3 linked regions of the Tribolium castaneum genome follow. The protein of the gene in region 1 purifies or fractionates together with the protein of each later gene. This does not show direct contact. Links are inferred from orthologs where the notes say so. Each region holds a gene or a part of one and is shown on either strand. Other genes may lie near its edges.

What was found.
Region 2: the proteins of Bet1 (region 1) and Membrin purify together in Homo sapiens (affinity purification with mass spectrometry; 3 studies listed by BioGRID and IntAct, with this or other methods). This does not show direct contact. The link is inferred for Tribolium castaneum from reciprocal best matches to the Homo sapiens genes BET1 and GOSR2.
Region 3: the proteins of Bet1 (region 1) and Gos28 purify together in Homo sapiens (affinity purification with mass spectrometry; 3 studies listed by BioGRID and IntAct, with this or other methods). This does not show direct contact. The link is inferred for Tribolium castaneum from reciprocal best matches to the Homo sapiens genes BET1 and GOSR1.

Annotation. Positions count from the first base shown.
Region 1 is NC_087395.1:4,198,428-4,201,088, forward strand, and holds Bet1 (BET1 homolog), read right to left. Parts: upstream 1,206-2,661; 5' UTR 1,055-1,205; coding exon 722-1,054; 3' UTR 654-721; downstream 1-653. Other genes in the region: tripartite motif-containing protein 2, read left to right, coding at 2,302-2,354. UniProt on the Homo sapiens protein: Required for vesicular transport from the ER to the Golgi complex. Functions as a SNARE involved in the docking process of ER-derived vesicles with the cis-Golgi membrane.
Region 2 is NC_087398.1:4,981,027-4,983,825, reverse strand, and holds Membrin (probable Golgi SNAP receptor complex member 2), read right to left. Parts: upstream 1,424-2,799; 5' UTR 1,271-1,423; coding exon 1,137-1,270; intron 1,090-1,136; coding exon 588-1,089; 3' UTR 520-587; downstream 1-519. Other genes in the region: gastrula zinc finger protein XlCGF26.1-like, read left to right, coding at 1,667-2,799. UniProt on the Homo sapiens protein: Involved in transport of proteins from the cis/medial-Golgi to the trans-Golgi network.
Region 3 is NC_087401.1:15,407,893-15,411,084, reverse strand, and holds Gos28 (Golgi SNAP receptor complex member 1), read right to left. Parts: upstream 1,750-3,192; 5' UTR 1,668-1,749; coding exon 1,643-1,667; intron 1,533-1,642; coding exon 1,351-1,532; intron 1,305-1,350; coding exon 1,063-1,304; intron 845-1,062; coding exon 607-844; 3' UTR 502-606; downstream 1-501. Other genes in the region: ankyrin repeat domain-containing protein 50, read right to left, coding at 2,319-2,490, 2,540-2,720, 2,794-3,192. UniProt on the Homo sapiens protein: Involved in transport from the ER to the Golgi apparatus as well as in intra-Golgi transport. It belongs to a super-family of proteins called t-SNAREs or soluble NSF (N-ethylmaleimide-sensitive factor) attachment protein receptor.

The sequences.
Region 1 (2,661 bases):
ACTAAATAAAGTCGTACCAGTTTTGTGAGTTTTCGAGCACCAACTCTTAATTTAATTAATAATTATGTACTTATGTAAAGTATTTACACTTAGTGAATCCCTATCTGCTAGCAAATAGAATCCTGCATCCTGGTACCTAGTATCACAAGTACAAATTTTTACTTGGTTGGTTAAAAAATCGCTCTTTTTTATTTAATCGCAAACCGGACGCATGATTTATTTGAAGATAGTATTATAATTTAGCAACAAAGGGATCCTTTATCAGTTGCCGACCTTTTTGAAGCCCCTTATTTACACTTTTGCAGCAAATGCATTCAAATATTCTAACGAAATATTTTACAATGTTACTCTGATTGGTATTTTTTCTCTAATTTCTTAAACAATTAGTTGAAGTGAATACGTGTAGTTAAGCATAAAATTTAGAATTCTTATTTAATTAGAAATCGTGATTTTCTTAGATTAGGTTGCTGGATCTGTTATATAATGCAAAGCTGATTCCTGTTTTATTATTAGTTTTTGGGACATATTTAAGTTTAAACGTGGTCAAGTTCACCTGGCATAAGTATTAGTGGTAATTTTACTTGGATGTGGCTAAAGCCATTTATGATTTAAGTTCATAATCAATATTGTTAGTTACAAAATAAAACTAAAAATGCATATCCAAATTTTATTTCAAGCCCTATAATACAAAAGCCAACACTTATATACAAAATTGTCAAAATCACCTAAACTTTAATACAATATACAACACAAAGAACACAAACAATGAGAAGAAAAATAAATACACGATGTAATAATTATGAGACCCCTTTGACAACCGCAAAACCCTATTCATAGTATTCCCCAAAAACCCCCTAGTCCTGTCCATATCGTCATCCACATCTCGCAACAATTTGTCCTGATATTTCAGCTCGTTTCCTATATCTATCGAAAGGGACTTCAGTGCACCAACCTTGTCCCTTAATTCATTAGCCATTCGGTCATTTTCCTCCTCGACTTCGTTAGAAGTTTGGGGCAGAGGCTCGTAGTAGTTTCCGGCATGGGCCCTTCGCATTTTGAACGATTCCAGCTTTAAGGTTATGCCAAACTCGTCCGGAAATTTCACTTCGGGTCTTCACCCGCTGTTTCACTGTAACTTTACAATTTCACAATGTTTTTGCAAATTTGTTAACAGGTTGACGTGTTCAATTCAATTTTTGAGGTTACTAACGTCAAGTCTAGGGAATTTGCGTCAATACCACCCACCCTCAAATAAATTGATAAACACACGTAAAGGATAAATAATAATGGAAATTGAATTAAATTTGCCTGAGGTTAACAATTTGTTGCATTCTGATTTTGTACAAGTTGGTTAGGGTGGATAATTTCAAAATTCTGGTGTTTTTCGGTGGTGGTTGTTGGTTGTAGTTTCGCGTCAGGCAACCAGTAATACAACAAAGCACACAAGAAGTAATATTTGTGGTGAACACGGGTGTGTCGCTTGCATAGAGAAAGAGGAAACATTATTTAAATTTCGCGCTATGTGCTCACCCTGGACTGTCAACAATGTCAACCCATATAAGGCATAAAGCACAATTAGCATGCGCAGTTTTGTAAAACGGTTGACAACATTGACGGTTTATTTAAAATAATGTTTTTGTGTGTCATGTGTGGTCGTGAGACTGGCTTTAGTCACAGATCAGCATGTTGTCGTTTAGGTTCTTGTGTGAAAATCGCGTTTGCCTCATCACGGAACGCAATTATTCAAGAATGGAAAGAAGTCAGGGTGTATATGCCTTCAAATTCCCCCTGTACCTTCGTAAAGTGCACTTTGAATGTTATGTGAGACTGGAAGTGTTTTATAAAACGGAAAAGTAAAGTGCTAGTTTTGTGTACTGTTAAAATTAAGTTGTGCATGAATTAAGTTGTGCATGAGAAAATTACACAATATGTTTTACTTTCGAATGTATTTTGCACTACTATAATTAATAAAACCGTTTTTTTTAAATAGTGTAAATTTGTTAGTCCCGTGTTTAGTGATAATAATTTTACAGGTTGTATATACAAACTTTGGGTATATTTATTCAATTTTTGTATAAAACCAGTAATGCAAACTAATAAGGGTACATACATAAAATACGCAATGTTCAAATTGCGCGCGGTTTTTCAATTTCCAATATGCTGGATTTAGTTTCTCACCCGACCGCACTTAGCGCTATCAGCATTAATTTGTTTCCTCAAAATAACACGGCGCTGTCACTTCTTAACCTTTATATTCTTTGGTGGTGAAAACGCCAGAATTCACGTTGTTTCGTGCTGTTTATGCTAGTTCGTGTGAAAAACCGTCGAAATAATGTAAATTCAGCCTTTTCCAGGTGAGTTTGGCACAAAAAATGTGTGTATGTTTTTGAGGTTATGTTGGTGTTTTTGTTATGATTTGCAACAACAATGCTGTTTTTTGTTAGAATAAATTAGGCTGGTGCAGCTGTGGAGGCTATAAACCAGTCATAATCTGGCCCAACACCAAAATAATCCGAGCTAAAATAAACACTTCCTGTTTCGAAATGAGAGTTCGATCGGTGGGGCTGTTGTTAGGGGTGGCGCCACTGCGGGGGTGCTTTACAGTCTAGGTCGCGAATTATTGATTCGCTCAGCTGCTCTTTGTGTTTTGCTTCGCCAACA
Region 2 (2,799 bases), on another chromosome or scaffold:
GTATAAAGTATAGAAATTTTGATTTAATTTGTTACGAAAACACTTAACCTGATTTAAGAATTAAAATATAATGCTTGTTATATTCAGTATTGTTGTTAACTATATCACTTTGTTATTCTTCCCGGAACTGTAGGAACTATCATGACAATGTGCCTTGCCTGCTGATCTAACAATCTTCTATTTCAAGTATACGTTTGAATCGTATGTCGGCTTCATTTTTCACAAATACAAAGTGATATGGGCATTTATTAAATTTTAAAAGCGATCCCGTTGGATCGGTACGATTTTTCCCTGTCTATAAATTAACTAGAAATCGTACTGGCTCAAATAACCCCACCACATAAATAGTTCACACTTATTAATTTAAAACTATAAAATAGACTTATCGAGTATTTTTTGTAGAAAATTTATTTTTATTGTTAAAGAACGGAAAGAGGGACGAAATAAATTCTAGCAATCAAACAACCACGCATTTTCTTTACCCTTCACTGCCAATCCCAAATATTTAACCCAACCAAAACGAATTAATTTTTTATTAATAAATCAAGATTACATAATTCACAACAACCAGGGAATGTGTCACCTCTCTATGTAAAATACACAATTACAAAAACAATCACTAAAAGCGTAATCACGATTCCCAGTATCAGTATATATTTGTCTTCACCGGCCCTTTTCTCGATTAGTCTCATTGTGTGGTTACTCAGCCCCAGCGTATTAGCCATGTCCATAATGCGACGATGTGCCCCCTTCAAAGTCAGTCTTTGCGACCTAAGCGACTCTAACGCATTAACCCCCGTGTGTAGCATTTCGTCTACACCTCTATGAGAATTCTGTAATGAATTCTGGTGCTGTAACGCATAGTCTATATTGATGGTCGTCAGATCGGGATTAGGGGCAAACCGGCGATTCAACAATTGTTCCCTTTCATTAATCGCAGCCTCTCGTCGTGCCCTTTTCTGTCTAGAGGCCACTAGGGCCGCCTGAAGGTGCCTTGCATCATACTTCAACTGATCGCAGCGCATTTTCGCGTTAGGTCTTTGGTCGATCGGGACTTTATATAAATAAACATCGAGTTTTTCACAATTACTGCAATAATTTATTAATTGGGTGACGAGGTAAATTGCGATTTTTACCTATTAATTGTGGTAATCTTCTCTTGAATGTCAGCTTCGATTTCGAGGACGTTGCCAGAGTTTTGCTCCAAAGCTTGAAAGCTTTGTTGCGTCTGTTGAATTAATTTGTTGGTCTGATGGTAAAGTGTATCCATGATTGGGGGCAAAGCCAAGACACATTGCAAATTTAAATTTTGATGATGTTACAGCATGTTGTTGACGTTTGCGTCATCTGTCACTGACTGATTGTCAATTTTGGGGATTTTGCGACGTGGGATTGGCACCGTCCATTTCAATTTTCCGACTTTTCTCGGCATTTTCCCCACTTTTGGGACAACCGGAATTGTTAATTACTTCCAAAATGTTAAAGACACGAACTTTAGGCTTTCGCTAATTAATTAGTCTGTGTCTTTGGGAGACAAAAATGCGTAAATGTCACTATTGTGTCAAACGGCCATGTTTGTTTATTATTGACCAAAAAAGTAATGTAAAGTTTGCCGGATTTTTTCCGATTTTTCAGCCGGGGGGCCGTTTTTGCTCGATATAATGTCATGGAGGGTCGCTGCCGTCTGTGCGCCGAGTTCGGCACCGATCATCTAAACAGTCTCGATGATCTCGATCTCATTTTACGCATTTTTCAACTCTTTCAAGTCCGAATCACCTCCGAGGACAAACTCCCAACAACAATCTGCCAATTATGCGCCGAAACGGTGAAACAAACATGGGAGTTCAATCAACACATCCAGAAATCGCAAGAGATCCTCCAGGACATCGTCAACACAGAACTGCAAGCAGCCCACCAGGAGAGCAAGCTCGATTTCACGCTCACGCTCGAAGAAAGCAAACTGAACGTGGTCGAAGTGACCACATCTTCAGCCGTTAAAACGGAAGATATCGTACTTAAGCCTTCACCAAAAGTCAAAAAAACCGGCCGTAAAAAAGAAAGTGACTCCGAGTTGAGTGACGTGGAGCTGAACGACGACGGCACCGTAACCCCCAAGGCCGAGCTCCTCGGTTGGCACTCCTATCCTTGGGCTTGCTGCGACTGCCAGCACACCTTCACCAACTCGGAGGACCTCCGGGAGCACCACGCCACCGTCCACGGGCAAGCCCCCACGTATCCTTGCGCCGACTGTCCGAAAATTTACACAAAATACAGCACTTTCCTCACGCACGTGCGCGTCCACCGCGTCAAACTGCGCTTCTGTTGCGATATTTGCGCCAAGTGGTTCCCCACAGTCCTGGCCCAGAAGAAGCACAGGAACGAGCACGGCGATGAGCGCCCCCATGCGTGCACCACGTGTGGCAAACGCTTCCGCATGCAATCCGCCCTCATGGTGCACGCGAGGTCGCATCTGCCCGCTGAATTAAAAAACAAGCACCAATGCGACCAGTGCCCCAAGAAATTCGGGACGAAACCCAACCTCATGGCTCATAAGAGAATCCATGCGGGGGTGCGGGACTACACGTGTGACCAATGCGGGAAAAGCTTCGTCCAGAAAGGGAATCTGGACAACCACCTTTTAACACATACAGCCGCCAGGCCGTTTGCCTGTTCAACCTGTGGTAAAGCCTTCAAGACTTTGGTCCGGCTCAGGAAGCACGGATCGGTTCATTCGGGGCTGAAGCCCCACCAGTGTGATGTTTGCGGGCGGCAGTTCCGCGAAAGGGGCACTCTGAAGGA
Region 3 (3,192 bases), on another chromosome or scaffold:
TGAGATCCTTGTACAATAATTGTTAGGGAGGTACTGACGTACACAAAAAAATGACTATTTTATTTTATATACCATTAATGTATAGACTCTGTAGAATGTTGTTGGTTTTCGCAATATTTTTCTAAACTGTTGCAACTAAAAACATTGCGGAAATTGTACATAATTTTTTTCACTATTATGTATTTCTTTACACTTTTTGATGTTATAACTGTATATAAGAAGATCGAGTATTTAATTGTAAAGATATAACAGTTCCTTTATGATATTTTCTAAGCCAGGGCATTACATGCAGTGGGACAGCTTCTTAATCTTTCGTTTGTTTAGGTTTTAATCTCTAAATTGTAAACTCATTAGTTCTTGGTATATTTGTAAAAGTAAACATAGATACTTGCATTTAATTTAGCAACTATCATAGAATGTAACTTTTAAAATTAGTTGCCAATAAAATATTTAATTACGCTTGGTCTGTCAATAGGATGGTGCAGGTAGGGTTTAAACAACTCTAAAAAAATCATTTTATTCATAACAAATATAAATACCGCCACTAACACTACCCTCGATTTTTGGTTAGATATTCTGATACAATAAAAATTATCACAGTTAGAGTCAATGGAAAGCGTAAAGTAGCATCAAAACGGTGCACCCTGAAACGACCAACCCTAAAATAATCGAATCCCTCCTTTTTTTAATGTTAATCCTCTGAATGAGACTATTGATGACTGGGTACCGATTTGACAAATCATTAAACCTCGTCTGCAAGCGCTTAAACGTCTGTCTCTGATTGGTCAAATGTTCCCGAGTCTCCATCGCAATGGAAATTTGCTCATTAACCAACCGCTCTGAACTAGAACCAAACCCAAGTCAAGGCTGCGCAAATCCAAAGGCTAGGAGACGAAACGACAATTTTTTTTATCGTAAACTAGTGCAAAGCTCAACTTCTGCATTTTGGCGCTCGCAGCGCCCTCACTTTGACACCGCCGAACTATCTCTTCCGGGTACGATTTTGTTTCGTCTCCTAACTCATAGTCCTCCGTAGTCGAATCCTAAGCCTACTCCACTCACCTGTGCAAGTGTTGATTCTCCTTCAAGTACATATCGCGCCTATTATTAACACCATCGCCCCTGAACGTATCACTGGACCCCCTTAACAAATCCTCCCTCTCTCGCCTGATCTCGTGCTGGGACGTAGTCTTTCGGAAATCGCGCGATAAATCGGCCAAAATATCACGGTGGCGTTGGAGGGTGTGCAGCATGGCAGCCCCCGAGACGGGCTGTTCCCCCATCCTGTCGTTAACTTGTGTTAACTGTAAGGAATTGTTATTTGGGGTGATTTTTTGGGGGCCCGCTTACTTTATTCAACAATTCCTCAATTTCGAGAGACATGGCCTCGAAAGTGTCCTCGCCTGAGAGAAGGGGCACAGCATCGGAGCTCGAATGAGCTGGGGGCGACTTGATACCGGCCCCCAGTTTACTAAACGCGACGAGTTTTAAGTCGATTTCGTTCTCTAAGTAGCGCGCGTGTTTGCGGAGGTCTGAAACAAGACAAGGGGGCCCTACCTCAAAACGCAATACCCGGCTAATATTTTACGCAATTGTAACAATTAACGTGTTTTAATTAAGGTGTAATTAATTGTTTATTTACCTTCGTATGAAAGAGCCGCCGCCATGTTGCTGCTGATTTGGAAAAAGTGCAGCCAACCGCACGGCGCATACGAGCAAATCCCCTAACTAATGTGTATGGGAAATGAGGGAACAGTGGGATAGAACAGGGGAATCACATAAAATTGCAACTTGTACACTTTTACATGTATTTATTTAAATATTTCAAGTTTAATACTGTTCTGAACATATACAGTGCACAACTTTAATAGTATAAAACTAAAGCTGTTTTATTGTAAATACAAAAAAGGCATACATTAATTGATACGTATTGAATGAAACAGCGAATTGCTTGAAGAGAAACACACACAATACCCGAAAATAACTCCAAACATACAAAAATATATTTTGCAAAATGAGATCTTACGAGAGAGAACTGAACTGAAGCCTTGAATTATTGTTACCTGTTTACTAAACTACGTCTCTATCACAACTGATTTCAGTAAACTCATCGTTGAACAAACTTAGGCCTAGAATCTGAGTTATGTCGCTACTAGATTAACCATTCGATAATCTAATAAAAAATTAAATCTTTGATATAGGTAAGACTAGGTGAGTGTTGTTAGCGTTTTAAAAACCTGTCAGGGCAACATTCAAACGAAAAAATCCCCACCGTATAGTATTGACTAGTAATTCACGCAGTGACTTAACAATTAATTTTACAATGGCGTTTCTTTCCTCCAATGAAAACTGTTCGTTTTTGTACTCGGATTCGCGCCGGACGTTGATTTCCTCAAGTTGGCGGCGGCCGTGTCCAGCCCATTCTTCACATTCGCCACCAATCGCAGCGCTGGATTCGTCACAATACCGTTACGTTTCGGCTTCTGACTGCTAACACACAATCGTCAAACACGACTACCAACCGTAGTTACAAACCCACCTAGATTTCGAATTCGACTCATTGTTCTGCTGGTCACCCTTCTTGTTTCCCACGCCGATACCGCTCGAGTTACCCAGAATGATGCGCATGTGGGTGTCGCGCGCGAAATGCGTGTCGGGCGCCTTGGCGAAGTTGTTATGCCGCAGCACCGGCTGGTAGATGTTCATAGCGCCTGTAAATTCTGAAATTTTGGCAAAGTCGGTACAGGTTCCTGTAATTTTTTACAGATTCCTGTAATTTTTGTACATACGTACCGAACATGTTAGGCGTGTCGTGAACGGGACTGAGCGGCGGCGACGCGTAGATGGGACTCTGTGGCTCGCTTTGCAGCGGCGATAGTAATTTACTCAACGGTCTCGTTTTGCCACCCCTTGTGCATTGTTGCAACTGTTGGGTGAAAGACATAGGTTGTGAGTTTTGCGAGTTGTCCCTCTGGCGGTCGCCATGCCGACTCGAGTGACTGGACCCAGTCAAGTTCGAGCTCGATTTCGAATTTGAACTGTGATTCCCCAGCGACACCATTGAGCGTCTCTGCTGGTCACACCAGTCCTGGTTTCCGGGATATAGCACAGCACACGATGGTTTAGTCTCAGCTGTCGAAGCTGATGTTATTGAGTTGGCACTACTGCTCGTATGTGCCATTTTGTGTGACC